Linked DNA regions of Rattus norvegicus. The protein of the gene in region 2 interacts with the protein of the main gene of each other region in a pairwise test. Links are inferred from orthologs where the notes say so. Each region holds a gene or a part of one and is shown on either strand. Other genes may lie near its edges. The genes, in order: Fsd2, Tle5, L3mbtl2, Airim, Ldoc1, Card9 and Frs3.

Region 1 (4,031 bases), on a different chromosome or scaffold from region 2:
GAAACATGAAGACCTGTTTGACAAGTAACTGCTGTCGGGCGTGTGGACAAGAGGGACTCTGCACACGCCACTTTTCGGATGTAAATTGGTCCCCACACCATGGACACTCAGTACACAGTTTCCTAAAAAGCTGAAAATACACTTCCCATCTGGCCCAAGTCAGCCTGCCACGGACATCGAACATCCGTGCTATCCACATTAGCTAAGTTATGGAACTAACCGAGGTGTCCATCACAGAGGGACGGGTAAAGAAATGTCTACATACTCAATGGAACTGTTTGCAGGAAAATGAATGCTGCTAGAGAAAATATAATTAAGGTAGCCTCAGAAGACAAATATACATTCTCTCTCAGTTGTTGCTCCTGAATCTCACATAGATTCATAAAATTATGTATGTACAAAGGTCATGAAACTGTCTAGGGAACAGAGAGTACTAAGAGGAGAAGAACGGGGGAGATAAAAGAGGGAAGTGGATTTGGAGGAGTATGCTCAACACACATTATATACACGTGTGAAAATGTCCTTGCTTTGCATAATACCATATAAAATGGATATAAACAATAAACATTTTCAAAGGGGGAAAACTGTGATATGATGGGTACCACCCCACCACACACAGACAATTAAAAACTCCAGAGAGCAAGGAAACACTATGCCTGCTTATACAGCAGGACATCAGACAGCACCCAGGGGAGTCTCAGAGTGAGCCCCAAAGCAAGCATGGAAACCTGAATTAGGGTATCCAGCGCCTGTGTAAAAGGTCAGGTCAGCAGTGAGCGCATGTAGGTCAGCAGTGCAGCAGTGAGCGTAGGTAGTTTGTATGTAAGTGCAGCTGTGAGCATATGTAGTTCATATGTAGGTCAGCAGTGAGTGAATGTAGTTCCGACAGTGTAGCAGTGAGCTTGTGTGGCTCTAACACTGAGGACTGAGACAGGGGGATCTCCAGGTCTTTCAGGCCAGCTAGACTAGCAAAGCTACAGAACTCCAAATCCAGTCTCAAAAATGGGGTACAGAATGGCTGAGGAAGAAACCCAAACTTGACCTCTGGCCTTCACATGCAAGTGCATGTGCATATGTACTTGCAAACACGGATGCACAGAAACACACATACCCACCCCATCCCACCCCAACTCCCAGGACAGAAGGAAACTGTTCACTTCACCATCTGGATGGTGCCACCATGGTGTCATCACTGTTAGAACAAAACAAAACAGCAACAACGAAAATTAAACCCCATGCAATTGGTACTTTGATTGGAAAGTTTCTGTTTTACTTATTCATGTAATAAACATTTATAAATCTGGGTAGTATGGGCACACACCTTTAACCCCAGCAGGTAGAAGACAGAGGCAGGTGGATCTCCAAATCTGAGGTCAGTCTGGATTACAGAGAGAGTTCGAGAACAGCCAGGGATACACAGAGAAACCTTGTTTCAAGAAATCAAACCAACCAACAAAGTAACCAACCAAACAACAGCAAACACACACACACACACACACACACACACACACACACACACACACACACACACACCAGCCTCTCCCACGTAGAGGACAGAGTAGGGGGATGAAGGCAAGTGACAGTCACCTCTGTAGTTGCCCAGGGGCAGTGAAGTTCAGTGGATAGCTGAGGGGAGGGGCGGGCTCTCACATTCCAAGACATGGCTTCTGTAGCTCACTGGGAGCAGCTGCCTGAAGGAAGCTACTTGTGGAGAGATCACCACACTCGGCCTTACCTCCACAGTGATGAACACTTCTTCCAGGTGGCTAGCGAAATTTTCCATCTCAATAATCTGCTGTTCCAATTTGCACATATTTTTGTGAATTTCATCCTGTGGAGGTGAGCAGAACGAATAAAGTATCAACGATAAGCTTATTCTATCTTTTTTAAATTAAAAAAAAAAAAAACATGTGCACCGATGTTTGCCTGTGTGTGTGTGTGTATCTGTACGCCACGTTGTGTTCTTAGTGACCACAGAGCCTAGGGGAGGACATCGGGGTCCCTGGGACTGCTGTTACAGATGGCTGTGAGTCACCATGCGGATGCTGGGAACTGAACCCAAGACTTCTGCAAAGCAGCCAGTGCTCTTAATGCTGAACCATCTCTCCAGGCTACCATTTCATCCTTGGAGGCATGAAGGACTGAACCTCTGCCCACCTCCCCGAGACACACATGCACTCTCCAGCGGAAGATGTAAGATCTGTTACCTTGGCGTGTTCCAGAGCCTTGTTGATTGGGGTTACTTCGTGTTCCTTGTGTATATCAAAATCCTTCTCAACAGTTCTCACTGGAGTTTTGCAAGTGACACAGAAGACATCAGCAGGCTCTTCCTCATCTTCCTCCTCTGGGATGACGTAGCATTCATATTCCTCGCTGGCGCGGCCATGTGTGTACCTGTAGGCTTCCCGAAGGTCTTGGCATTGGTCAGGAGGGCCTTGAACTCCGTAGCACAGGTCCTCGGCCTCAGCTGCCTCACCACTAAGCCCCCAGTCTCTCTGCTCCCTGCCTGGATCCCTCCTCCTCATCCCGTACGGATACCCCAGAGTCCCCAATCTGTGTTCATCCACAAATTCACCCCCTAACTCATGTTCATCTTCAAGCCCGTATAAATGGACAAGCGCGTCCACTTCCTTCTGGAGATTCTTACTGTCCCCTGCCCCTCTTGGCTCATTGGTCAGTTCAGCCTGGGTTACTTCCCTCCGGGTTCTGCTGCTTTCTCCTGGGAAGAGCTGCAGTCTATCTTCAGAGTCATACAGGTCCATGTGATAAAAGTGGAAGTCTCTGGGGGCTGTTGATCTCCCCAGCCCCGGCTCCTCCCCTGCTTCCTCCTCCATTGACACAGAACAGCCCTTCCTAGTCAGTCAGTGGGTATTCTGAGACCTAGGACACAGAAGAAGTGAACGTCAGTTCCCAAGAAGAGAATTGCAGAGTCTGCGCACGAGATTCCATAGTTCCAGATTTTATCCAAGAAGTCAACGGTCACAGTCTACATCATGGCAAGCAAATTCACTGAATTGTCCCAGCCGTAGCTGACTCACAATTGCTCAACAGAAACACATGGAGACCCTCCCTAGAGACCTAAGGCTGGCTGGCGAGCTGGAGACACTGCTATAGAAAGGTGTATTAGGAGCATCACCCCTACCTAGGGTCACCGCATGACCTCTTTGCCATTCACAGCTCTCACGAACCATGCAAGATCATAAATATTGGTTATTTTAGGTTATCAAGCTGTGGAATAATTTGTTATGAAAGAACAGTTTGAATGAGGCCAGCGTAAAACTAAGCCTCCTCCCCCCTGCTACCATCTGCCCCTCCTTGTTCATAGTCAGGCTCCTTCAAAGGACGGCATTGATAATGCTGATTTCCACACCGTGACACGTGTGCACGGGGCTTTCCATGGGGAATCCAGGCACTGGGTATGAAGAGTTAGCGTTCAGATACAGTCTCAGGTTTGCATTTGGCCTTTCTCAGAGCTGCTTCGCCTGGGAACAAGGCAGCCTCTGAGGTCCTTTCTTCTCAACAGCCCTTCGCTTATCAGAAAAGCAAAAATATATTTCCTGTTCATTCTGAATATTACATTGCACAGTAAGATTTCATTGCTTGGGAATTTAATAAAGCCTCCAGGGGACTGGATGAAAGGATAGCCTGGAGGATTGGCATCAATGCCAAGAGTGAGTGACATTAATGAATGAGAAAGAAAGGATCTTTTTTTCAAGGTAAGTGCTTTCCAGCTCTTTGCTTCTAACAAAATTGCAAGAGGATCTAATCAAGTTGTCAGCTGATATATTATTTGAAATAAATGTTCATGATAGGTCATTATATAATTTCGGCGTACATTTCAGAAGGAGCTGAAAGAATGGAATGTTATAACCACCTCCATTCCCATCTACCTACACAGGTGAGCACGGTCACTCAGTTTGCCTGGACAAACTGAAAAACAAAATACGAACTCACTCATTCCTGTTGCATTCTAGATCCTGTAATTTCCACTCCTGGGTTGAGTTGAGCCTTTTTCTTTTTTTAAATAAACA
Region 2 (4,356 bases):
ACGCCCTGGGTTTGACCCCGAGGATACAAGGAGGATGAGGACAGATTCCTGTAAGAGGTCCTCAAACCGGACAGACACGATAAACCAGCAAATGAAAAACAAACAGAAAACAAATAAAGAAAACAGGTGGCACAGGACGCCACTGCCCGGCCTCAGAAAGCAGAGGCAGGTAGACTTCTATGAGTTTGAGGAATGAGTTCGGGATAGTCAGGGCTACACAGAAAACCAAGACAGAAAAAGGCCCAAAACTGAGGCCCAAAAAGGCATGGTCCCCAGGGGACAGCCTAGCCTGGAAGGGGTACAGAGAGCCTTCAGGCCACCTCTCAGAAAGTAACCAAGGCACCCATGTGGGTGCCACAGGCCACCCTGCCAAAACAGTTGAAAACCTGAGCACTGAGCTGCACCGTCCTGCCCCAGGACTGCAGGGCCCCAGTTTACCCTCTGGGCCTTTGCTTGCTCAAGGAGTGTCTTATTGCAGAACACAGGGTGCCCTGAGGAAAGGGGTCCCCACCCCACAAGACAGAGGCAGGGACACACCATCCGACCTTTTCATGTTTTTATTTTGAAGGCACAGCTAGACCCCACCCTCAGTACAGCGGCCCTCCACCTCTCGGTGGCAAAGCCGAGGCGACCAGAAAAATCTAACTATATGCACAGACAGACCCTCGCTCGCTCCAGGGCTTCCTTCTTTTTCTCTCTTAGATGGTAGCTATAGAGTACTGGGACGAAAAAGAAATAATAAACAAACCGACTTTTAACCCTCACGTTTATTTGGGGAAGGGGAGAGGGAAGTTTGTGGGGTGCCCACCCCCACTGCAGTCCCGAGCCAATGCTTTCTTTCCGCGGTTGAGGGAACCAGAGCTGGGTGAGCTGGGGGGAGGGGTCTGGGCCTAGCAGGTGTGCAGTGCAGGAAGCAGAGAAGGGGAAAGGGGGCAAATTCGGGGTGCACAGGGTGGAAAGGGGCGGCTAGCGTTGTGTACATTCTGGGCCGAGATTGGTGGCTGTAGCCCGGGGAAATGTTGAAGGTGGGGAATTTTTCCCTGTAGCCTGGGCTGTCCCTCTGGCGTCTCCTAGGCCCAGGGTGCACAGCTGGAACCAGGACTGGAGGTGGAAGCTTGGGTAGGGACCGAGCTGTGTGCAGTGTGGCCCTCAGAACACTGTGCTCTCTGTGCCTGTCTCCCCTGGTATCCCCCCTCCCCCTCCCTCTCCCCAGGAGCTAATCGGACTTCTCTCCATCATCCTCCTGGTGGGTGTCCCCATCGTGTCCGTTCTTGTCCTCCTTGGAGAGGTGGGTCTGAGAGCCCAGAGCAGAGAGTGACAGCAGGCCTGTGCCTGCGCTGACCGCAGGGAGGGATGGCGGCTGGAGCCCGACAGGCAGCGGTGTCAGGGGCAGGGCCAGCGCCTGGAGCTGGGACAGCTGGTGAGCCTGGAGCTGCTGCTGTGGGGCGAGGGTGGGGGTGGGGTGAGAGTCAGCTCAGGGTCTTGTCACCTGACCCCAGTCACCGTGGGTCATACACCTGCCCACCCAAGTCCCCGCCCACCAGGAGCTCCGACTTACTCGGATGATGGAGTTCAGCTCGGGAGCCGTGACCTGCTTGGCTCTCTCGATAGCTCCCAGGACCTGCTGCTGATGCTGGAAGAGGCAAGGGAGGAGACACAGTTCTCTCAGGCAAAGGGACAGTCAGGCTGGAGTTTAAACATAAGGGGGAGGCTCCTGTGCAGTGGGCAATCGGTTCGAGTGCACAAGGGAAGTCCGGTCCTAGGGGCTCAGGGGCTGGCGGGGTGGGAGACTAGGAATCCAGCTTCACAGCGATTTCCTCAGAGTTCGCCCACCCGGTCCCCCATCAATCATCTGCGCCGGCCCGCCCACCCCGGTAGCACTTTCTGCCTCGCCACAGGGGTCTGACTCCAGCTGCTCCGATTCACACCTTTGCTAAGTTCAGAGAGGGCAGGTGTGTGCTCAGGGGGTTGCTCAGCACAGGGAGAAGGGAATCCCACTGCTCCCTGCTGGTGGCTTGCTTACCTCCTGGGACAAATAGGGTAGAACCTGGGCGCAAATCCCATTCAGCCTCTTCACAATTTCAGCCTGGAACACATGGTTTTCCCTCAGTACCTGGGGCACTTGGAGGGCAGGGGAGGGGGAGTTGAGTCCACCTCTGGGGGTAACAGGAGTGGCCTCAATGCTCAGTCTGGGAATCACAGGGCACTGGGGTCATGGAGGAGGGATACTGAGGCTCACCTGTTTGTGCATCTCGATGTTCAATCCGTAAGACATCTCATAGTACTGTGAGGTGGAGAAGCGTGTCAGGGCCAAAGGGCTGTGGCCTTATGGGTGGCCTGCTTCTCCCTGCACATTCCAGCAATGCCCTTCCACCCTACCCCCATCCAGTGAGCTCCTATTTGTTCTTCAAGACCCCAGTCACAATGCCCCAAGACCCCAGCAACCTCCCCTGCTGGGAACTAAAGGACGGAAGCACAATCCCTTTGGTCCTGTGGGGGTTAGGAGGTCTCTGGTCAAGGAAGGGTTAAGGGATGCCTGGCCATCCGGATGGCCTGGAGGGAGGGAACTGTTGCTTCCGGCTGGCTATGGCAGGCTTCCACAGCTGCCTCCTCCTGCAGCCCGCCAAGGACGGCTGAGACCTGGCCGGCCTGAGCTGCGAGCCGGTGGTTTGGCACCTCAGCCACTACCTGGGCTGGTGGCCAGGCTGCCGATAGCCTGTGGGGACTCGGTAGCAGGCACCTGCAGTATGTGGGGAGTCTGGGGTCGCCGCTCACAACGCCCCGCCCCCGCCCCCGCCCCGAGAGGGCTTTACCATGACGTAATGCCTTTGCATCTCTGACTTCTCGCTGGCCAGCTTGTCACACTCCAGCTTCAGGCTGAGGACACACAAGGGAAGGCAACTGAGGTCCCCTCGGGGTAGGGGGCACCTCTGGAGGGTCAAGCCAAAAACTTTTTTTTTTTTTGAGACAGGGTCTCATGTAGCTCAGGCTAGCCCTGAACTCACTATGTAGCTGAGGATGACTTTGAAGTCCTGATTCTCCTGCCAACTGAGCCACAGCCCCAAGATGCAAACTGAGACAGGGCCAAACACCACATCTGGCTGCATTTAAGGACACCCCTGGGTTTTCTGCAATCCTGGGCAGGCGAGGTTACTCAGTTTCCCCTACTGAAATTCCAAAAGCATTCTCAATGGAATAACAACCACCAAAGTCAGAGGTACCTTCCTGCAGGAGATGAGGGCTGCAGAACTTGTCATCCCCCTATCTCATCTTAACATGGGATTCAGTGGGTGCCCAGAGAGGGTGAGTGAGAGGTTCAAGGTCACACAGCCGGCGGTAACCCGAGTACTCAAACCTGGGGAGATATCTCCACACAACAACAAATGCTGAAGACTGAGATGGCCCAGGGCTGAAAGGAACAGACACCCCATGGTGTCCTGGCTTCAGGAAACTTCTTCAGGTCCAGCCCATCTCTCTAGTCTCATCGGGGCTGGAGGCTGGGGTCTCTTTGCCTTCTGCTGCTGTGTGATTCTAGGTTGGCTGTTCTACCTTTCTGGACTCCACTTGCTTTCTCTTTGTAGTGGCAACCTTCCTGGACCAGGACAGGTCAGTGGAATCAAGGGATTGGGTCTGTGGCTTGCTTTCCAGACCTATGAGGCTACTCAGTGGGGTAGGCTCTTGCCTAGCAGTGACTCCCCCAAGTTGTCCTCTGACTTCCACCTCAACAACAGCACTACCTCCCCCCCCCCATTCTCTCTCTCTTCCAAGACAGGGTTTCTCTGTGTAGCCCTGGCTGTCCTGGAACTCAGAGATCTGCCTGCTTCTGCCTCCTGAGTGCTGGGGTTAAAGTCCTGTGCCCACAAGCCCATCAAAATATTTCTTTTTAAATCCAAAAGGCCCTCAAAACTTGGGAGGGTAAGACAGGTAGACGTCTGTGAGTTTGAGGCCATCCTGTCCTACAGAGTGAGACCCTGTCCTGGAAAAAAACAAAAAACAAAAAACAAACAAACATAAAGCCAGCCTAGCGCAGCCACAGGGTCAGGAACGGGAGGCCAACACAGCCTGCACAGTGACCCTGTTCTCGGCCAGCCCTGAACAGGCTCAGCCGCTCAAGGGCCTGTGGCTCAGACAGGAGCAATGGGAAAAGCGTGGCTTGTTAGCCCAGCTAACTTCTGATATGCTCTCCAAGTGAAGGCCGCACTCGCTCAGGGATGCAAGACTGAGTGGTGGACCCTGAGTCACACTGTGGCCCCTCTCCCTCCCTCTCTCTCTCATACTCTCTCTCTCTCGCGCACACACACACACACACACACACACACACACACACACACACACACAAACACAATAAATAAGGCT
Region 3 (3,556 bases), about 110 Mb from region 2:
GCAGTAAGACTTAAAGGAGGGGTTGAAACTGTCCCTGGCCGCCGCTGCCACAGACTCCCCAACCCAGCCCTGGAGTCTCCTCACCATGTTAAAGAGTCTCGCTGGAGCTGCTTTTGACTTGGTCTTTTCTAAGTAGCTCTCCCAGTCAAAAGGCTGTGTCTCATACCCTGGAGGGGAGAGTGTGAAGAGGAGTGAGGAAGCAAGAGTCACAAGGTAAGACCTGGGGGTTAAGGGCAGAACACACACTTTGGGGACCCTGCAGCCGAGTCCCAGCATAGTCTGCAGCCACCCTTCTCTCCAGCGTGGCCCCTCCTCTAGGACAGTCCTGCTGCACAGCTCCTGGATGGCCCTAACACACAGGAGTCCTGTTCACCAGCTATACATCAGCTGGGTCAGCCCAGGCAGTGCAAAGGCAGTGGTGGCTGGAGAGGCCCCTCCTCTCTCCCATGCCACAGCCACACATCAGGGATCTGGGCTGTGACTGCATCCTGAAGTCTTACCTTTTGGGGGTGTGAGCTCGATGTCATTCTTTTGGCAGAAGGTGGCTGGGAAGATGGCGTGGGAGGAGGCGTGGTAGCAGAACCAATCTGAGCCATCCGTGGACGGCCCCCCATCCACACAGATCATCAGGTAACCATCCAGGAGCACCTAGGAGGGGCCAGCAAGATGGCTCAAAGGGTAAAGACTGTCCTGCATAGCCTGTTCCAACCCTAGGACCCATGCAGTGGAAGGACACACCAACGACCACAAAGTGTCCTGACTTCCATGCACATGCACATAATAAATGCAACTAAATAAAATAAAACCAAACCTAGGGGAGGGTACAGGGAAATGGATGGCATGTGTCATCACCTGCAAACCCTCCAAATAGGTGGCTATGATTGGACACGAGACATGGATCCAAACGGATGGCTGAATTCTGCCTTATGCCAAAATACCCCAGTTTGGCAGAGCACCCAGTACTCAGGAACAGTGTACACTCTCCACCATTGGTCAACCCATGCCAGCCAGGGCTGCACCTGCCTTACTGCCCCCAGGCCCTGAGTATGTAGATAGCATGTGGCTGGACACAGCTACATGTGGCCAGGTGGACAATACAGTGTCCGTAGGCTGCAGCAGTGATGGCAGGTAGGAGCAAGAAGCTGGGCTGAGGCTTTGGGCAAGCAAAGGAGGACTAGTGGCAGAAAGGCCTTCACGAGGGGTCAGCATTATGCTTATACCTGACACCGGACAAGGCTTAGATATTTAGTCTAAACCCTACCATGAAGGTTCTGAGCCAAGAGCAGGAACAGTCTCCTTCCACCACACAGAAGTTAAGGGCGATATGAGCAGCAGGGTCAGGGCTCCAAGGACCTTACAGTGGGTGCAGAGCTGTGCCATCCAACACTCAGCCAGCCATGCGGGAGGCCGGAAGGGTAGCCTAGGCTCACCTTGCAGATGGTTGCTACACAGATATTGCCCAGATTCAGAGGGTCAATGGCCTCTAGTTTCATTCCTTCCTCAAACCAACCACCTTCTGTGTAGACAGCTCGGACCTTAAAGGAATGAAGCAATCAGGGAGTCAGGAGAAGGCAAAGGAACCATCCTTCGGATACTGCAGGCCTGGGATGGCAACAGAGGGCAAAGGACAGTCCTACTGGGTGCTGTGGTGCCCGCCTATTAATCCCAGAACTTAGGAGGCCGTGACAAGCTGAACTGGGCTGCAATGGGTCCTTGCTTCAATCTCCTCTCCTACGGTTCTCAGCATGTTTAGGGCTGTGGAACAACAATCTCTTACGAAAGAGACAAGGGTCAGTCCCAGAGAGATGCCAACGAAGGAGTACGGCCAGAGGAAAAGTGCCCACAGGCTGTACCTCACCTTCTTGAAGAGGTAAGGAACAGCATCACAGTAGATTTTCCGGAAGGTAGGGTGATGAGACATGTCACATCGTCTCTCTAGGGGAGATGACAGAGAAGAAGAAAAGAAAAGGAAGTTGAAGATGCCACTGGGTATCACATGCTTCTCCCATCTTGGTCTCAGCTGTGTCCCACCTGCTTCCTAACAGGGAAACAGAGGACCGTGGGGCAGTAGTGTGGACTCAGCACAGGGGATGCACGCTCTTTGGTCCTGGCACTGTGCCAATACCATCTGCGTTACAAGGCAATTTGGCTGTTCAGACTGAGCTGAGTGACCTGAGTCACTGGCCTCTCTGATTCTCCACATTGTCACTTGCTGGGCAGCCATGATAGTGCACTTCACTGCACTACTGTGAGGTGCAGCAAAGGCGCACTCATCTTTAGGGGGAGGCTAAGCCTGGAGTCTTACCAGCCAGAGGCTCTACTGACCTGACATCTTGATGCCGTGGCCAACACGCCGTGACCAACCCACTGGATGGATCAGGGGACTCCACATATGGCACCAGAAGTCATCATCACTGTCACCATCCTCATAGAGGAGCCGCAGGCGACCCCCAATTACTGTGTCCACCACAGCCATGCGGGTCCGTGACACCTGAGTCTTGTCTACAACCTCTAAGCGCATGCCCTGCCGAAAAGGGTACTTCATGCTTTCTACCATCTGCAGGGACACAAGAAGGCGTGCGTCTGCTTCAGTTACCCAGTCCTGTATCCCTGCTGTCAGCAGGAGCTGAGTGTGGGGACGCAGGCCTTTAATCCTGGTCTACAGATTGAGTTCCAGGACAGCCAGGGCTACAAAGACAAACCCTGGTCCTGAAAAACCAAAGCAAACTGAAGAGAAGCAAAGGAGGAGCTGTAGGGTGAGTCAGCAGTTAGAACATTGCCCTTCCTGAGGACACAGGTTTGATTGCCAGTGCTGACACAACCTTCCATAACTCAAATTCCTGGGAACCCAATGCCCTCTTCTGGCCTTCAAGGGACAACATGCATACTCACATACAGCCAAACATCACCTATACACATAAAATTATATATTTTTTTTAAGAGTCAGAGGGGACAGGGAAGGGTGGTGAAATCTCAGAGTCCCTCTGCCCTCCTGTCTTGCCTGAGCCCCAATCCCTTAGAATAGCACAGTGGGCAGGCCTACAGTTCTCAGTGGGTACCTCGTCTCACCAGATCTCAGCTAGTCAGGGTGATGGAAATCCCAGAAATCTACTTCAGACCAAGGGAACTCAAATGACCTAGAAAAGTGTAGGCAGACTTAGTTCTGGATCCAGCCTGGGCGTTCACAGCTCTGCTGACCCCTGGCACCTCGCACTCTCTTCTGCCTCTGGTCCTCTATGGCAGCACATGGAAGATTTTGTCCAGTGGTATTGTAGCTATAATCCTAGCATACAAGAGGTAGGGGCCAACCTGGGATCACAGGGAGTTCAAAGTCGGCCTAGATTATGTGGAGACTGTCTTTTTAAATATGTATTTCATATGTGACTCCTAGGGCTTAGCGAATTTTAACAGCAGCAGTCCACAAAGCATAAGACAACAACCAAGATGTCTGTATCTAGGGTGGGCTGTAGGGCTTTTAGCACCAGGATGCAGTGGAATCAAGAGCAGCTCTGGCCTACCAATGCTCAAACTGAGCAGGGCTGCTTCTAAAACGCCG
Region 4 (4,346 bases), on a different chromosome or scaffold from region 2:
CAAGAGCAGCGAACACACAGTGAATCAGTCAATTCACTGTCACCAGAGAGAGAAATATGATGGTGTATATAAGGTGCCTTTAGCAGTGCCTACATATCATTCTAATGCTGACGCAAAGGGACTCATCACTAAAACAAAGACTGCAACTTCCCAATGGACAAGGAATCTCCCAGCCCAGAACTCTAGCTCTAAAGATCCGGCTGTGTCTTACAGTGTAAAAACAGGAAACAACCCAAAACCAGCAAGTCTGTAAGTCCTGCTTATACACTGTGACTTAACAAACAGAAAACAGAGTATCAGTAACGCCTGAGTTGTTACTGTTTTGTGGACTGGTTACACATGTATCCACTTGTGTGTAGAAGGAGGTGGTGGTGAGGAGCCCAGCTTAAGTGGCAGGCACACTTCAGAATCCCGGCTCTAATTCTCACTGGCTCTGTGATCAGGACAATCAGTTTATTTTCTGTCTTCTTGCTTCCAAATGCATAAGCAGGGTTAAGCCAGGGGTGTACAAGGTCCTGTACATACAGTCTTTAATCCTGGCTCTCACTGACTCTACAGAATACCAAGGAAGACTCTTCTTCCTCTCCTCTTCTTTTCTGCTTTTGTCATTTCTTCAGTTATGTAATTGGTTTGGGGTTATTTTTATTTGTTTGTTTACTTACTTATTTTATTTTGAGACTGGGTCTGTCAGTGTAGCCTTGATTGTCTTGGAACTCTCTACGTAGACCAGGCTGGCCTTGAACTCAGAGATCTGCCTGCCTCTGCCTCCTTAGTACTGAGATTAAACACTTGGCCTGGTTTGGGTTTTTTTAAAACAACCTACTCCAGGCTGGCCTCGAACTTACAGACATTCAATCTTAGCCCCCTGCATGATTACTCCTGACTTGCTTCTGTCAACTTTTGTAGGCCCACCATGACTGAGGCTGAGATGCCCTACAGCCTTAAGATCTGTCCATCAACAAAGGGGGACACAGAGCATCTTACAGCCTCTCAGTTAGCTTGTCCAGGACAATGTCACCAGCCTCTAGTTGCTTGCGCCTCAATCGCTCCTGCAGGTCTGGAAAGGGACGAAGGGCTAGCACATCCTCAAACCGCAGACTTTGTGCAGCTTGCAGCTGCTCAGCCAGATTGCTGAGAGAGGAGAGGAGGGGCAAGCAGTCCTGCAGAGTGCTCTGCCACAGGTCCTGCTGTTCCTCCACCACGGGGAAGCACTTCTTCAGGGCCTCCTGCACAACCAGCAGCGGCTGGTCATGAGCCATCTTCTGGGTAGAAAAACAAAACAAAACAAAACAAAAGAGAGTCAGGGTACCAAAAAGGGAGAGCCTACATCAAGGGTGAGTCATTTTTGACCTCATGAGAAGACCAGATTTGGTTTTCAAATAGTCCCAAGGCAATATTGAAAGGTAGGGAGACTCTAGGTGACACAGAAAAGAACTCTTCGTCCTGGAAGCAGGTTGACACTTTCGACCAACAATGAAGTAAGAATTTCAGCAGCATACTTACCAACTGCTTAAGGCCTTCCTTCCTTCCATGTTCTAGAAATCTCACCAGAAATCCCATTTACAGAGAAAGGTCACACACTACTCCATTTACAACCAACTGCTTAAGGCCTTCCTTCCTTCCATGTTCTAGAAATCTCACCAGAAATCCAATTTACAGAGAAAGGTCACACACTGCTCCATTTACAACCATAGGAGCTCCTGATTTCACTTTATTGGATTGTAATACCATCAGAGAATATTGGAAGCCCTCTCACTTACTTCTCTTCTCAAACAACTTTTTGTTTGAAGAGAATAACAAGGGTTCTTTAGAAACCCTTTTGAGATGTAACCTGAAAGCTACCAAAATAAGTATACACGGCTAATGTAATATGACTTTAATCCCAGCACTCTGGAGGCAAAGCCAGGTGATCTCTGGGTTTGAAGCAAGCCTGGTCTACAGTCCCAGGATGGCCAGGGCTACAGAGAAACCCTGTCTCAAGAAACTGGGGGGCGGGGGATGGTGTCAACTGTTGATCTCCCTGGAGAAGACCAGACCCACATGACTATGTCTAACTTTCTGAGATTGTTTGAGCAGCCTTCAAGTGTATTCTATTTTATGCCTAAGTGCTTCTCTCTTAATCCCTGTGCTTAAGCCTGTATTAAAAGCTTTAGGCTGGGAGTTGACGAATGTACCTTTAATCCTAGCACATGGAAGACTGAAACAGGCAGATCTCTGTAAGTTCGAGGCTAACTTAGTCTACACAGAGACTGCCAGGCTAGCCTGAGTTAAATGGTGAGCCCCCGTATCAAATGTGTGCATGTAACTCTGCTTCATAGACTGGCTAGTGCTGAGTTCTTTCCAGCCTCAGAGCCATCAACTGAGCTGAAGTCCCTAAAAGGTTAGGGGAACTCCTCACCTTGCTGAAGTAGGCAGAGTGAAGCTGTGCTCCTCTGTCTTGTCACCGCTGACACTCAAGAATAAAGATTGCGGCGGTCCTCTTACCAGTTCTCTGCAGAAGGACTGCAGGTCTTCCGAAGGGGTTTCTAAACGACAGTGCAATCTACTTTAGATTGCGAAGCCCTGGGGTCTGTCTATCCCCGGACCAGTGCTTCTGGAGTCTTGTCTCCTCTCTTTAAGATTTCCAGCCCTGTTCCTAAATCAACAGGAAAACGTAAATCCTGGGTTGTCAACACTGAGTACATCAAAAACTACACGGGGCTTGGCACTGTCTGCTCATTCACAAGACCGAACTCACCACTCCAGTTCTAGTTAGCACGACTCTGGAGTCGCGAAAAGATGGCGTATGCCTCAATGACTTCTGGGCATTGTAGTTCTCCATAAGGATTGGCTGACGGAGGGAGAAGAAGCTTTGTTGTGATTGGACTTTGTGAGAACCGTCCTAAGACGACGATTTGCTATTGGCTAGGCTGTGCCCGTTGAGTTTGAATTGGGTGGCGGTTAGTGGAAGATCAACCCGTCCCTCAGCTGGAGCTGTAAGGTTTCCTGAGTCTGTTTTGGGACCCCCAGGTTTGTTTCCGCAGAGTTCAGGATACCTAGACTCCAACGACTGAACTTCCGCTGCTCCCCGACCACTCACGCCCTCTTTCCCGGTCTCATTCGCTAACCCGGCAGCTCGGCCCCTCGCTGGACGCACCCTGGTGTCATGGCTCCTAAGAAACGCAGCAGCCGCGGGACCAGGACCAACACACTGCGGAGCCGGAAGCTCGCCTCCTTCCTAAAGGACTTCGACCGCGAGGGTAAGGGGTGGATTCGCGTGATCGTGAGTTTTGGGTGGGTTGGGGCGCGGGTGCGACGGCTTCGCACACCTGACGCGGGATCCATCGGCTTTCACCTCTTTGCAGTGCAAGTTCGAACCAAGCAAATTGAGTCCGACAGGCAGACCCTCCTCAAGGAGGTGGAAAATCTCTACAACATCGAGGTCCTTCGGCTCCCCAAGGCGCTGCAAGTCATGAAGTGGCTTGACTACTTTGGTAAGAGCTGCTAGCGTTTCCCCCGTGGCCGATTAGTGCTTATCTTGAAAACTTTCTATAGGGACTCATTCAGATGTCTTAATAAGGTCTTAAATAGCCACCGGTGGGAAATTGCCATCTGTCATAACTTATAAAAAAAAAAGTGATAGACCCATTGGAAAGAAGCGGGCATGAATTACCCTTCAGATGAGTGTTATTAGGATAGTGCTTCACACTTTCACTGCTCAGTGGGAGGAGAGCTTTAGAAGGTATATACCAGAGATAGATGAGGGGGGGGGAGGGGGGGGCTGAAGGAAGAGGGAGGGAGGGAGAGGGAGGGAGGGAGGGAGGAGGAGGAGGAGAAGGAGGAGGAGGAGGAGGAAGAGGAAGAGAGAAAAGATCAAATCCATAGTACAAAGTGAGCTTCTGATTCTTGAAGGCTTTCAGAGGTTGGGGAAGGCCGTTCCACACTGACCTGACCTAGCCTAAGCTAGCCTAGGCAAGGATGCAGGCACTTGGTAGGACTATAAAAGTTTTCCTGCCGATTTACAGAGGAGGGAGAGAAATGCAAGACCAGGATACATCATGTTTTCTCCGCATCTCTGTGTCCAAGGGGAGAGTTGCAGGAGGGCACATCCATATTTTGGAGAGGAAAGAGGCAGTTTATGATCTGAAACCACCTTACTGCTCAGTGCACCTGAAACTGCCATCCAGCCCATGGGCAGGCAAACCATGGTCCTTAACTGGCCAGGTAACAAATAATTTAGATTTCTGGAATTGGATTTCTACTATAGTTCCAAAGGAGCTGTGATGAGTTTGATTTCTGGGCACAATGAAATGTCAGTTTCACGTAACTTTCACACATCTTCACACATCGGGGAAATACTTGTGCAA
Region 5 (4,184 bases), on a different chromosome or scaffold from region 2:
TTTACTGGCAGGCTATTCAAAGTACATGAAAAACTTTAAACATTGAATAATGAGAAAATAGAATTTAACATGAAAAAATATGTGAACCAACATTTCCAAAGAGAAAATGCACCAATAGAAATCACTGGTGAAGATGCAGAATATCATGAAGTTCTAGGAAAAAAGAGGGTGAAACTTCGAGATACAGCCCTGCCAGATAAACAAGAAAATAGTAAGGAAAATGTGAAAATGTCACGTGCCAGTAAGGGCACACAGAATTGGCATTAACACACTGATGCTGGAATGGAAAATTATACAAACTGAAAATGGCAGGAAAAAAAAATACCATCATACTGTATATGTCCATTTTCTTTTAAAGTACTTTTGTTAGTTATTTAAGTTCATACAAGTTGAGCATATTCACCACTGTCTCTTCTAAAACCATCCAGATTCATGCCCTTTGTCCTGCCCACCGAACTTTGTGGGGTTTTGGTTTGGTTTTGTGTTTGGGGTTTTGTGTTTTGTTTTTAACTCATCCAGTCTGCTTTGGGTTATCTTTATATTCTTGGGTATAGGGTCATCCATTAGACTTTAAGCCACACCCTTAAGCAAAACTGATGCTTCCTTTTTTAGAAGCCATCAACTGACAATCGTCTTCACATAGATGTGAAATATACCCACCTCTTCTCCCCGTGGTGAAATTCTGTTGGGCTTGAACTTACACGGGTTGTATACATTCAGTGACTGTGGGTTTCATGTGAAACCACATAGTTGTTCCCAGAAAGTACTGTTTCTTTGTCCTTATCCACATTGACAAGCTCTAACATTCTTTTTCACTCCTTCTTCTGCAATAATCCCTGACTTGGGTGAAGAGGTATGATTCACTTATCATATTTGGGCTGAGAATTCTGTAGTTTATTACTCTAGTGCACCGGAGCTGCTTTTAGTTCTTTATGTTAGCACCATTTACTTCAAAAAGAAGCTACTCCGATGACGGTGATGAGGGTTGAACTACCCACAAATCTACTAGCATAGTGCTAAGTTTTATACTAACACTGTGTCCATTTAGCAGAATAATAATAGCAAATTCTTCCCTAGGGACTATGAATTACCTGATCAAAAGTTCTTGCCCTCAATAATTGTGCTAGTTATGTGTTTCATCTTGTGGAACAGGCCTTAAATGAAAAAAAATAGTTTACTACATTTAAAATATCCATGCCACCATTGTACAACTGAGTTAGTTACTGATTATTTTTCCATTCTGTTAACGTACATAGCACCTTTCAGCAACATGGAATTTATCCAGTAAGAATGAAGCTATCAGATGGATACCAGTTTGACTTCTTTCTGTTCTATGACTCAAGTATGCGGTGTCATCAGAAATAAGGTCTTACTGTCAAGTTCTGGAGGATAACCAAGAGCAATATCAATAGCATTTAATAGTTGGAGGTCTATGGGACTTCACTGGCTAACAGCTCCAATATATGTGGGAATAGGTTTCCATATGACTTTGTACATAGATCTTTTGTTATTGTTCTATGTATATATTCTTCTAACCAGTTTACCCATCTCCCACCTTATTCATTCCTCCTATTTCACTATTCCCTTTTCTCCCTTTAAATGATTGCATCATTTAATTGGTCCCTTAAAAGCATCCTATGCCCCACCATATGTCCTTACTAGTTTCCTGACTTCCATGGGCATTTCAAAATAAATACACAAATCTGAAGATGCAAAACTAGCATCTGCAACAAGTAAAAGCAATCAACATTTGTCCTTTGGGGAGGAGGGTGTCTGTTTTACATCATTCAGAATGATTGTTTTCAAATACATGCATTTACCTGAAAAATTCAACTTTAGTATTCAATGGGTGAATGGTATTGCATTGTATAAATGTATTATATTTTTACCATCCATTCATTGGTTGATGGACATCTGGGAGTTTCCATTTCTGGTTATCATAAATACAGAAGCATTGAACATGAATGAGACAGTGTCTCTTTAGTAAGATATAGGGTTCTTTTGGTATATGCCCAAGCAGTAGATTAATTTCCAGTGTTTTGAGGAACTCTACACTAATTCCACAGTGAACACACTGATGAATAACTTCAACAAGTAGTGAACAAGTGCTTCCTTTCCCCAAATCCCTACAAGTATTTGTCATCACTTGCTATTTGTATCTTAGTCATTTTGACTGAAGTAAGAGGAAATTTGAAAGTAGTTTTACTTTGCATTTCCCTAATGGCTAAGGATGTTGACCATTTAACAAAATGTCTCCGTCATATTCATTTCATCTTTTGAGAGCTCTTTGTTTAATTTTACGCCCCATTTTTTACTTACATTGTTTGTTTTCTTGATGTGTAGTTCCTTGTTTACTCTAAATATTAACGTGTCAGATATATATGTTGTTGAAAATTATAAAAATAAAATGCTGTCTTATACCCTCTCTAGGTCCGGCACCACAGTACCCCCAAGATATCTGATAGATATCCCAAACTCAGTCAGCAAAGCGTCTCACCTGCTCTGCTGCATCCCATATCACACTGCCGAAGGCCTCTCTGAGCCTGGAAGAAATCTCTCTACCTATCTAGGTCCCAAGGCAGGTTTCCATGCCAGAAACACACATCCCAACTCCATGTCGACCCAGACAAGCCGCCCCACACTTCCTTACATTTAAATCTACACATGAAAGATGATACAACACAATAATTTTTGATCCAATTGATAAAATACAATTGCCCACCTAAACATACAAAGCCCATTACACATCCATCCCTTAAGAACATATATAACCTGCTGAGGTACAGCGTGGAATCTAAACACAGGCTTCCAAATTGTTCTGCCGCGGCTTCGCTCCTCTCTCCTCCCCTCTTCCGTTTCTGTCTCCTCCTCTTCCTTCAAAACTTTCTCCCGCCCATCCTTCCTTTTCGTCCAATGACAGGCCTCATTCTATCTTGTACCTGCCTCACCAGTGACATCATCCCACATACATAATTGTTAAAGTTTTTCCCATTCTAAAGGCTGCCTCGTTACTTAAGTGATAGTGTAGTGTCTTTTGTTTTACAGAAGCGGTCTAGTTCATGAGTTACCATGTATTAATTGGATTTAATGTATTAACTACTGGGGAAAATGCATTCCTGTGTCAGTAAATTCAAGTATAATCCAAATATTTTCCTCTACCAGATTCAGACTATCAGGTTTTATGCTGAGGACCTTTATCCACTTGTAGCTCAGTTTCAAGCAGATTAACAGATAAAGATATAGTTTACACTCTCTATGAATAGCAAGAGAAACTAGAAGAGATAATATCAGCTCCGTATCCTACAACAAAAAACAATAAATGGAATTAGAACCGAAGGGCAACGTGATTATTAGAGAAATGAAAATACTCTAAAGTTGAGGTTAACTTCTCATTGTATAATTTTGTAAATTTGTTGGAAATGTTAACTATATGTTTACTGTAGGTAAATATTTTGGCTAACAGCACAATAAAATTGTTTTACTATCAAGCTATGCAATCAAATTATTGTTCATTTCTTTTTTTTTTATTAACTTGAGTATTTCTTATATACATTTCGAGTGTTATTCCCTTTCCCGGTTTCCGGGCAAACATCCCCCTCCCCCCTCCCCTTCCTTATGGGTGTTCCCCTCCCAACCCTCCCCCCATTGCCGCCCTCCCCCCATAGACTAGTTCACTGGGGGTTCAGTCTTAGCAGGACCCAGGGCTTCCCCTTCTACTGGTGCTCTTACTAGGATATTCATTGCTACCTATGGGGTCAGAGTCCAGGGTCAGTCCATGTATAGTCTTTAGGTAGTGGCTTAGTCCCTGGAAGCTCTGGTTGCTTGGCATTGTTGTACTTTTGGGGTCTCGAGCCTCTTCAAGCTCTTCCAGTTCTTTCTCTGATTCCTTCAACAGGGGACCTATTCTCAGTTCAGTGGTTTGCTGCTGGCATTTGCCTCTATATTTGCTGTATTCTGGCTGTGTCTCTCAGGAGCGATCTACATCCGGCTCCTGTCGGTCTGCACTTCTTTGCTTCATCCATCTTGTCTAATTGGGTGGCTGTATATGTATGGGCCACATGTGGGGCAGGCTCTGAATGGGTGTTGCTTCAGTCTCTGTTTTAATCTTTGCCTCCCCCTTCCCTGCCAAGGGTATTCTTTTTCCTCATTTAAAGAAGGAGTGAAGCATTCACATTTTGATCATC
Region 6 (4,057 bases), on a different chromosome or scaffold from region 2:
CGCAAGGCCCTGGCTTCGGTCCCCAGCTCCGGGAAAAAAAAAAAAAACAAAAAAAAAAAATTATTTGTTTTATGTGTATGAGTACACTGTTGCTCTCTTCAGACACACCAGAAGAGGGAATCGGGTCCCTTTACAGACAGTTGTGAGCCACCAGGTAGTTGCTGGGAATTGAACTCGGGGCCTCTGGAAGAGCAGTCAGCACTCTTAACCACTGAGCCATCTCTCCGGCCCTGTCTCCTTTTTTCTTAGACACTATTATCGTGACACCAGTCCTAAGCCCTTGGCTCTCCAGGAGTTAGTTCTTGCATGTGTTCATCCATCCTCTGTGGGAAATTTCATAGTAAAATGGCGTGAGCAGCCTAATCCTGCTGCTTGTACCGACTGTCAGCAGGTGGTTGTCCTGCAGCCCAGCTCATTGCCCTCTGTTATGTGTCCAGGGACCAGTGTTTTCCATGGCTCCCTCTAACCTCTTCTCCACTCTGGAGTACTGGGGTTTTTTCAGCTATCCGATTGATTTCTACCTCAGATTTATGGGCAAGAGCTTCCCATTTTATTAACACTTTTAAGAAAACACCATGATCTGTATTTTTACTGTTTGGGGAACAAACTCCACTATGGAGGCCTTGTGATCTCCTTCCTGGAGTAACTGCAAAGCCGTGGACCCCTCTTTGCCATCCTGGAAACCCAGCAAGGCACAGTCCCTAGCAATGCCACTCCCAACCCCACCCAGGCCAAAGAGGACTCCTGACTGCTGCTTTTAGAAGTATGGTCCAAGGTCACTGTCCCCACAGGAGCAACAGAAGGGCAGTAAGCCACGAAAGACGGGGCTGGTTGGGCTCTGCTCTTTGTAGGTCTCCCAGCCTTCCCACTCAGCTTTTGCTTCAACTCCTCTCGAAGACTAGGCAGCAGCACCTGTCTAACAGCTACACTGGCTGGTCAGGGCTAGCAGGTCCCCACGCCCATCTCAGGCTGGGGCACGCAGTTCACGGAGGACTCTAGCTGCCTACAGCCCGTGGATTGTCCTGCTGCACCTACCCTGCACCACCGTCCTCAGACGGCAGGTGAGGATATGGGCGGCCATGAGGGAAGAGCGGCTTTCAGAAGCCTGGATCCAGGAGGGCCTTAGACCGCCCATCCACAACGCCAGATTTTCAGATTCTGTGGCTCCAGGTCCGAGTTCAGATGAGCAGGCGGGGAGGGCTCCTCTGCTCCCAGAGTACTTCTACTTCCCTCTCTCCTGTTCCTGGATGGACCAATCAGAAGGTAGACCAGCAGGGACTGCCCCCCCCCCCCTCCCAGGGAGGACTGGCTGGCTTGTGGCAGCAACCAGAACACATCAGGAAGTGCACAGCCTCCCTCATGGCTCCACCCTTCTCCAGTTAGGGAGCATCTCCACACTCCCAGAGGCTCGCTCCTGGAGTGCCCATAGCCCAGGCAGCATCCAGCTGGCAGGTGGCTCCCACAGGACCCTGAGGTAAGTTCACCTTCCTGGAGGTGGGTGGAAGCCTGTGGTGAGTCTGCTGGGGACCCTGGAGCAGCAGTACCTACAGGCAGGTGGCCTCCTCCACCCTCACCCTTCATTTGATTAACCCTGGCCATGGCAGTATAGTCCTCCAGTGCTGGGCCATGTGGCTGTGGGGCTGGAATGGCAGGCAGTGGGCCCAAGGTTTAGAGAAATGTCTGTCCACTGAAGCCACTCACAAAGGCTTCACTTGTCCACATGCAGCTCCACACGAGTAAGCCCCTATGTTCAACTGGCCTGACTGATCCCCATCATGTGGCCAGAGGCCAGGCCTCATCCGGCAGCAGAAAAGCACAGGACTTGCCTAGCACCTGAAAAACTGGAGGGAAGCCGCAGCAGACGTCCAGTGTACCCCAGCCTAGCAGGGAGGCAGGCATGCTCCCACGGCCAACCCTTACTTGCCCTCCCAGAATAGCACCATGCCACAGGCTGTTGCATCACTGGCTACAACGGAAGGCCTGAAGGACTCGGAGCCTGTCAGGGAATGAGGAAGTCACACATAGGCCTGGCCCCCTGGCAGAGTGAGAAAGCCTCCCACCAACCTGACCCTCTTAGTCCCAATCTGGAGACTGGCCAGCCAGGGTCCACGCCACCCAGGGAGGTACTATGTAGGATGGCCAGTAGGGGCAAAAGCTCCCACCTTGAGGGTGTGCCAGGGCACTCCAGGGTAGAGGGCAGAAGCTAGAGCAGGCCTGTTGTACAAGGGCTATTCTCTTAGACCCCCAACCCATCCCTTCCCTGCATATCCACATGACTCAACGAAAGCTTGGGGTGACAGCAGCTTGGGGAAGGTGGGTTTAACAGGTGGCCTGAGGAGGGGCTTGCCTATGGACCTCTGCTTCCCCTCAGAAACTCTCCATGGAGCTGAGGAGATGAAACTGAGCCGTATATTTCCCTAGACTGAGTCCCTTCTGACCCTGCCCAAAGCCCTGCCCTGGCACTCCCAGGCCTGGGTCCTGTCAGGCTGACTGCGCCAGGCCCAGCAGGGAACAGAAGGTGGGCACTTCCTCAGCTGCTCTCCCCAACTGTACCACAGCCTACAGAGGACATGTCAGACTATGAAAATGACGACGAGTGCTGGAGTGCCCTGGAGAGCTTCCGGGTGAAGCTAATCTCTGTCATTGACCCCTCACGAATCACACCCTATCTGCGCCAGTGCAAAGTCCTGAACCCCGATGATGAGGAGCAGGTGCTCAGTGACCCCAACCTGGTCATCCGCAAGCGGAAAGTGGGTGAGGGCTGCTCCCATACCAGCAGGGCCCAGTCCCTCATCATCCCCACAAGACAGCCAGCCAGAGTCTGCTACCTCAGCCCCACCCAGCTCCATCTCCATGTAGGATATGAGTGAGGTCCTCCTCCCCTCTTGTCATGTCTACCTGCTGCTGCCCAGTGGGGGAAGGGAGTCCCCACCATTGTTCAGATCCTCAGAGCCACCAGAGTAAAGACAGCACCCTGTCCCACCTAGACTGAGACCTGCAGGGTGCCTTATGCAATGGCCCAGAAGGGAAGGGGGTGTCTAGAGCTTAGGTTATCTACCCAGAGTAACCATCCTAGCCAGCCCCAAGGGCCTCTACCTACCCAGCCCTGGGCCCTGACTCTGTCTCTTCTGCCTGAAGGTGTGCTCCTGGACATCCTGCAGCGGACAGGCCACAAGGGCTACGTGGCCTTTCTTGAGAGTCTGGAACTCTACTACCCTCAGTTATACAGGAAAGTCACTGGCAAGGAGCCAGCGCGTGTCTTCTCCATGATCATCGGTGAGAGGCACAGGTGTGGGTTGGTGCTGTGGGTGGACTCGGTGCTACTTGGCCCCGGCTCCTGTGATTGCACTGGAGTGACTAAGTCTGACACGAGCCTTCTGATGTAGATCAGGGTAGTGGTCCCTGGTGCCTCTCCGGTTCTCGGGAGCAGGGCCTTCCTGGATTGCTGAGGCCCTGCTGGTCTCCAGAAGGGGAGCCCTTCTCTGCTTCTCCTACTCACAGCCTAGAAATTCCACTGAAGTGGTGACCGCTCTGCAGTGCCATTTCTGCAGGGCCCAGTTGTCAGCCAAGGGCAGAGTCGTACAGTTTCCAGAGGGGACAGAGGTGTCCTCTCGTGGTGGAATAGCCACAGCCCTATCAATTCTCATCCATCTCACAAAGGTCACTGTAAGAGTAACAGAGGGCAGGCATGATGACACACACCTTTAACCTTTAACTCCAGAGGCAGCGACAAGCAGATCTCAGAGTGAGAGGCCAGCCTGGACTACATACATACAACATAAACACGTAAAACAGGGGCTGGGGGGAGACAGAAGGCCGACTGCAGTCCTGGCATGTGAGTGTTTGAGTCAGAATCTCAGTTCGCCTGTGAGGGACAGCAAGGCAGACTGGGCCTAGTGAGCACACTCAGTCTTGAGGGACCCATCCTACCCTCTGGGAGGCCAGGAGTGCTCCCTCTGTCCCTCAAGCTGCTGGTCTTCAAGCACACACTTGTAGACAAGGACGAGCACAGGGTCTGCAGGTGACAGCCACAGCTCCACCTGACACTGCATGGTCC
Region 7 (3,169 bases), on a different chromosome or scaffold from region 2:
GTGGCTGTTCCGTGTGATGATGACCGGCTCTTCTGTCACATTGATGCTGTTACACTGCATGAGGTCCTGCAGCAGGTTGAAGATTTCCTCTGCCCTTGAGCACTTGAACGCAAAGATCCCTGGAGGAGGTGAAGAAGCAGTGAGGGCTCCCCCAGCCCTCTCTGGTACAGAAAGGTCAGCCAGCCAAAGGAAGGCCATGACCCTGACCTCCACTCTCACAAGGTTCCCTGAGCATTCTTTGCAGAGAGAGGCAGAGGTGCCCCAGAATCCCAGTGATACTGGAGGGGTGGGGGATAAGCCCCAGGCACCCAGTTCCCTACACTACCTTCTATTTTCCCAAGCCCCAGGACATTTGTTTTCATAAGGATAGGTGTCTTCTGGGGTTGGGGATTTAGCTCAGTGGTAGAGCGCTTGCCTAGCAAGCGCAAGGCCCTGGGTTCAGTCCCCAGCTCCGAAAAAAAGAACCAAAAAAAAAAAAAAAAAGGATAGGTGTCTTCTGGGGAGGAGAGCCCACCATGGATAGAGCCCCCATCTTCCTGTCTCCTCACTTATGTCCCTCACAGAGCTTGGGGAGAGACACAGCAAGGCAGTCCGGTGCTTCTTCATGCGGTAGGCCTCTAAGCACTTCCAAGACCAGTCTGTCCCTAAAGTGGCAGGACTTGACTGAGCACATGGAACTCAATGGCTCTAAAGATGCCAGCCTGGGGCTCTGTAACACAGGCCTATGGGATAGCTTGTGCACACATCCACAGCAAACATAGATGTTACCAGGTATGGCACCACACACACAGTTGAGCATTAAGTGCAAGGCTAACCTGAGCTACCCATGAAAACCCTCTCTCAAAAAACCACGGTGTGTAAGGGGTTCCTAGCACACACAGAGCCCTGATTTACTCTCCAGCGCCACACCCACAGAATGATAGATACAGTTACATTGGGACATGGACAGTGAATATCACATCGCTGTTTTATATTGCTACCCATTAGCTCCAGCATAGGGTAATGGAATTTTGTAGAAACAGAATGAGAAAGGTGACAAATATGTAAAAGCTGGGCAAGATCAGAAGGACAGAAATGGTGGCACTGGTTGTAATCTTGAACTTGGGAGGTGAGAGAAGGATTCCCATGAACTTGGAGACCAGTCAGGACCACATATAACAAGACCATCTCAAAGGGGCGGGGCAGGGAGAGAAGGAGGAGGAAGACAAAGAGGGAAGGGAGGGAGAGGGGGGAGAAAGAAAGGAATGTGAGGTGGGCTGGGGTACAGCAAAAGCCTGGTGTTAGGGGAGAGACAGCTCTGTCTGCCTGCAGCACAATCCCAAGAAGGACTCCTTGTGCTGAGCATGTGTGGACCTAAGAAGCAAGTCCTAGGCCTCAAGCCCTAACCTCAAGCTCATGAGTAGCCTGCCAGCCCTGAGCTCCACTGCTCAGGTGACGGCAGACAAAGGTCAGGCTGTAGAAGGTTACACTGTATGCGAGAGACCCAAGTTCCCGCTGCCCAAATCTCTGTGCGAGCTTCTCAGCCGAGCTGCCAGCCTCCTGCCTGACTTCTCCTCCACTGTGCATGGAGCCCAGGGTGTAAGATCTGGCAGCTCAGGTTTTCCCTACTGCAGAGGCAGTAAGGACCCTGAAACCGTGGCAACAGTGGAAAGAGTTGTCTTTGCCATGTGGACTCTGGTCGAGGAGCACTGGCTCCTTCCATGGACTGTGTACCAAGTGTTCGCACCAAGGCATCTAGGGAGAACAGCAATGACTGAGGTGTGGAAGAGGACTGCTCTAGGTCCACGTAATTCCATAATAACACGCTCTAGGCCTTTGGCTGAGACCTTTCCCTGCTCTGAACAATAATGCCAAGGCCGATGCCTGCTGGTAGGGTGTTAGGGCCATTCTTCACTTCTGTAACAACCCAGGCCCTGTCCTGGAGGGCAGGGCTGTACTCACCCTGGCCTGTCTGACAGCGGCGGCCACTCTCAAAGGAGAAGAGATTGGAGTCGTAGCCATAGCGCCGCAGGCAGAGGTAGGGCCAGCGGACAGCTTCCTGCTGGTGCAGGTGCAGCACCAGCTCGCTCTGGGTCAGCTCCATCACCCCTGAGCCCAACTCCACCCCTTCATCATCCACATTTGTCACCTGTAGGGAGAAGTGACCAAGGTCAACAGAGAAGCTACGAAGTGTCTGCAAGGACCCTGAGACATGGGGACGCAGCATCATGAAGGGCTAGAGCTAGGAGACAGAGTTGCTCCTAGCTGTACCAAGAGATCCCTTGGTCACACAGAGCAGTGCCATGAGTCAGAGTTTTCAGGGGGTTGGGGGAAGTCTCTCCTATGAGCCTCAGCTCTGTTGTTTGCACAAACAGGAAAGAGGTCATCTGCTGACCTCCCAGGCCAGGTGGTTAACTGTCCAATGTTCAAGAACTTCCTGGGGCTTAACAGTGTGGAGGGGTTTAACTGTTAATTCAAAATCTAAAGTCTTGTTGACAGGCCCAAGGCAGAACAAATACAGCCAGCTTCCAACCCAGGAACTGTGCAAACTTGCTGAGTGTCCCTCTCCAGTTGGGCAGGAGAAACACAGGCCCAGAAAAAACCCAGTTGAGAGGAGATGGCGCCTCCTATGGGATGTAGGGAACTTAGGCTCACAAAACCCAGTGTTTCTTCTTGTGCTATGTGTGCTCTACTTAAAACATGATTCCTGGTAGTAAGAGAGGAGAGAGAGGGAGAGGGAGAGGGAGAATAAAAAATAAGAAACAAAGGTCAGGTTTTCCCTCTCACACTACCTCAGAGGCCAAGAGCAAGCATCAGGAGCCTTATTGGGCCCACAGCCACAGCCTGTCATCTTCCTTTCCCTAGAGACACAGGAAGCCTAACCTCAAGGGGACGTTGGGACTTGAGTGGACAGAGGGTCTGGGTACCTTGAACTTGGTAGGGTGGTTGTGTGGCACGCTGTCTCTGTCCAGGCAGCTACAGCAGCTCCCCATGGTGTCAGAGCAGCCTATCAGCCCTGGGGAAAGACAAGAGATGAACAGGTCACCAGCAGCCCTGCCAAGCTGCTCTGCTCTGTGCAGAATACTGCACTGTGAGCACGTCCTCTGTCCAACAGGCTGTGTGACACAGACACACCCTGAGGGGATTCTGTCTCAATCCATGGCCAAACACACTTGGGATAAACATTAAT

Evidence for each region.
Region 1: the proteins of Tle5 (region 2) and Fsd2 interact in binary tests that used the Homo sapiens proteins (3 or more experiments, as listed by UniProt). The two-hybrid records come from large-scale screens. The link is inferred for Rattus norvegicus from reciprocal best matches to the Homo sapiens genes TLE5 and FSD2.
Region 3: the proteins of Tle5 (region 2) and L3mbtl2 interact in binary tests that used the Homo sapiens proteins (3 or more experiments, as listed by UniProt). The two-hybrid records come from large-scale screens. The link is inferred for Rattus norvegicus from reciprocal best matches to the Homo sapiens genes TLE5 and L3MBTL2.
Region 4: the proteins of Tle5 (region 2) and Airim interact in binary tests that used the Homo sapiens proteins (3 or more experiments, as listed by UniProt). The two-hybrid records come from large-scale screens. The link is inferred for Rattus norvegicus from reciprocal best matches to the Homo sapiens genes TLE5 and AIRIM.
Region 5: the proteins of Tle5 (region 2) and Ldoc1 interact in binary tests that used the Homo sapiens proteins (3 or more experiments, as listed by UniProt). The two-hybrid records come from large-scale screens. The link is inferred for Rattus norvegicus from reciprocal best matches to the Homo sapiens genes TLE5 and LDOC1.
Region 6: the proteins of Tle5 (region 2) and Card9 interact in binary tests that used the Homo sapiens proteins (3 or more experiments, as listed by UniProt). The two-hybrid records come from large-scale screens. The link is inferred for Rattus norvegicus from reciprocal best matches to the Homo sapiens genes TLE5 and CARD9.
Region 7: the proteins of Tle5 (region 2) and Frs3 interact in binary tests that used the Homo sapiens proteins (3 or more experiments, as listed by UniProt). The two-hybrid records come from large-scale screens. The link is inferred for Rattus norvegicus from reciprocal best matches to the Homo sapiens genes TLE5 and FRS3.

The regions. Positions count from the first base shown.
Region 1 is NC_086019.1:144,923,331-144,927,361, forward strand, and holds the start of Fsd2 (fibronectin type III and SPRY domain-containing protein 2), read right to left. Parts: upstream 2,835-4,031; coding exon 2,208-2,834; intron 1,832-2,207; coding exon 1,736-1,831; intron 1-1,735.
Region 2 is NC_086025.1:8,793,581-8,797,936, forward strand, and holds the end of Tle5 (TLE family member 5), read right to left. Parts: exon of another isoform or gene 2,884-4,356; intron 2,878-2,883; coding exon 2,814-2,877; intron 2,285-2,813; coding exon 2,240-2,284; intron 2,122-2,239; coding exon of another isoform or gene 2,107-2,121; exon of another isoform or gene 2,087-2,106; coding exon 2,024-2,086; intron 1,634-2,023; coding exon 1,559-1,633; intron 1,439-1,558; coding exon 1,217-1,438; 3' UTR 543-1,216; downstream 1-542. UniProt on the Homo sapiens protein: Transcriptional corepressor. Acts as a dominant repressor towards other family members. Inhibits NF-kappa-B-regulated gene expression. May be required for the initiation and maintenance of the differentiated state.
Region 3 is NC_086025.1:115,080,039-115,083,594, reverse strand, and holds part of L3mbtl2 (lethal(3)malignant brain tumor-like protein 2), read right to left. Parts: intron 2,558-3,556; coding exon 2,326-2,557; intron 1,936-2,325; coding exon 1,859-1,935; intron 1,536-1,858; coding exon 1,431-1,535; intron 649-1,430; coding exon 501-648; intron 168-500; coding exon 85-167; intron 1-84. UniProt on the Homo sapiens protein: Putative Polycomb group (PcG) protein. PcG proteins maintain the transcriptionally repressive state of genes, probably via a modification of chromatin, rendering it heritably changed in its expressibility.
Region 4 is NC_086023.1:142,481,871-142,486,216, reverse strand, and holds the start of Airim (ribosome biogenesis protein C1orf109 homolog), read right to left. Parts: upstream 2,831-4,346; 5' UTR 2,485-2,830; exon of another isoform or gene 2,399-2,484; intron 1,263-2,398; 5' UTR 1,260-1,262; coding exon 985-1,259; intron 1-984. Other genes in the region: Cdca8 (borealin), read left to right, coding at 3,146-3,239, 3,345-3,473. UniProt on the Homo sapiens protein: Part of the 55LCC heterohexameric ATPase complex which is chromatin-associated and promotes replisome proteostasis to maintain replication fork progression and genome stability.
Region 5 is NC_086039.1:145,000,431-145,004,614, reverse strand, and holds the start of Ldoc1 (protein LDOC1 precursor), read right to left. Parts: upstream 2,849-4,184; 5' UTR 2,773-2,848; intron 1-2,772. UniProt on the Homo sapiens protein: May have an important role in the development and/or progression of some cancers.
Region 6 is NC_086021.1:29,575,602-29,579,658, reverse strand, and holds the start of Card9 (caspase recruitment domain-containing protein 9), read left to right. Parts: upstream 1-1,256; 5' UTR 1,257-1,474; intron 1,475-2,558; 5' UTR 2,559-2,570; coding exon 2,571-2,754; intron 2,755-3,138; coding exon 3,139-3,276; intron 3,277-4,057. UniProt on the Homo sapiens protein: Adapter protein that plays a key role in innate immune response against fungi by forming signaling complexes downstream of C-type lectin receptors.
Region 7 is NC_086027.1:20,788,668-20,791,836, forward strand, and holds part of Frs3 (fibroblast growth factor receptor substrate 3), read right to left. Parts: intron 2,996-3,169; 5' UTR 2,973-2,995; coding exon 2,907-2,972; intron 2,129-2,906; coding exon 1,942-2,128; intron 120-1,941; coding exon 1-119. UniProt on the Homo sapiens protein: Adapter protein that links FGF and NGF receptors to downstream signaling pathways. Involved in the activation of MAP kinases. Down-regulates ERK2 signaling by interfering with the phosphorylation and nuclear translocation of ERK2.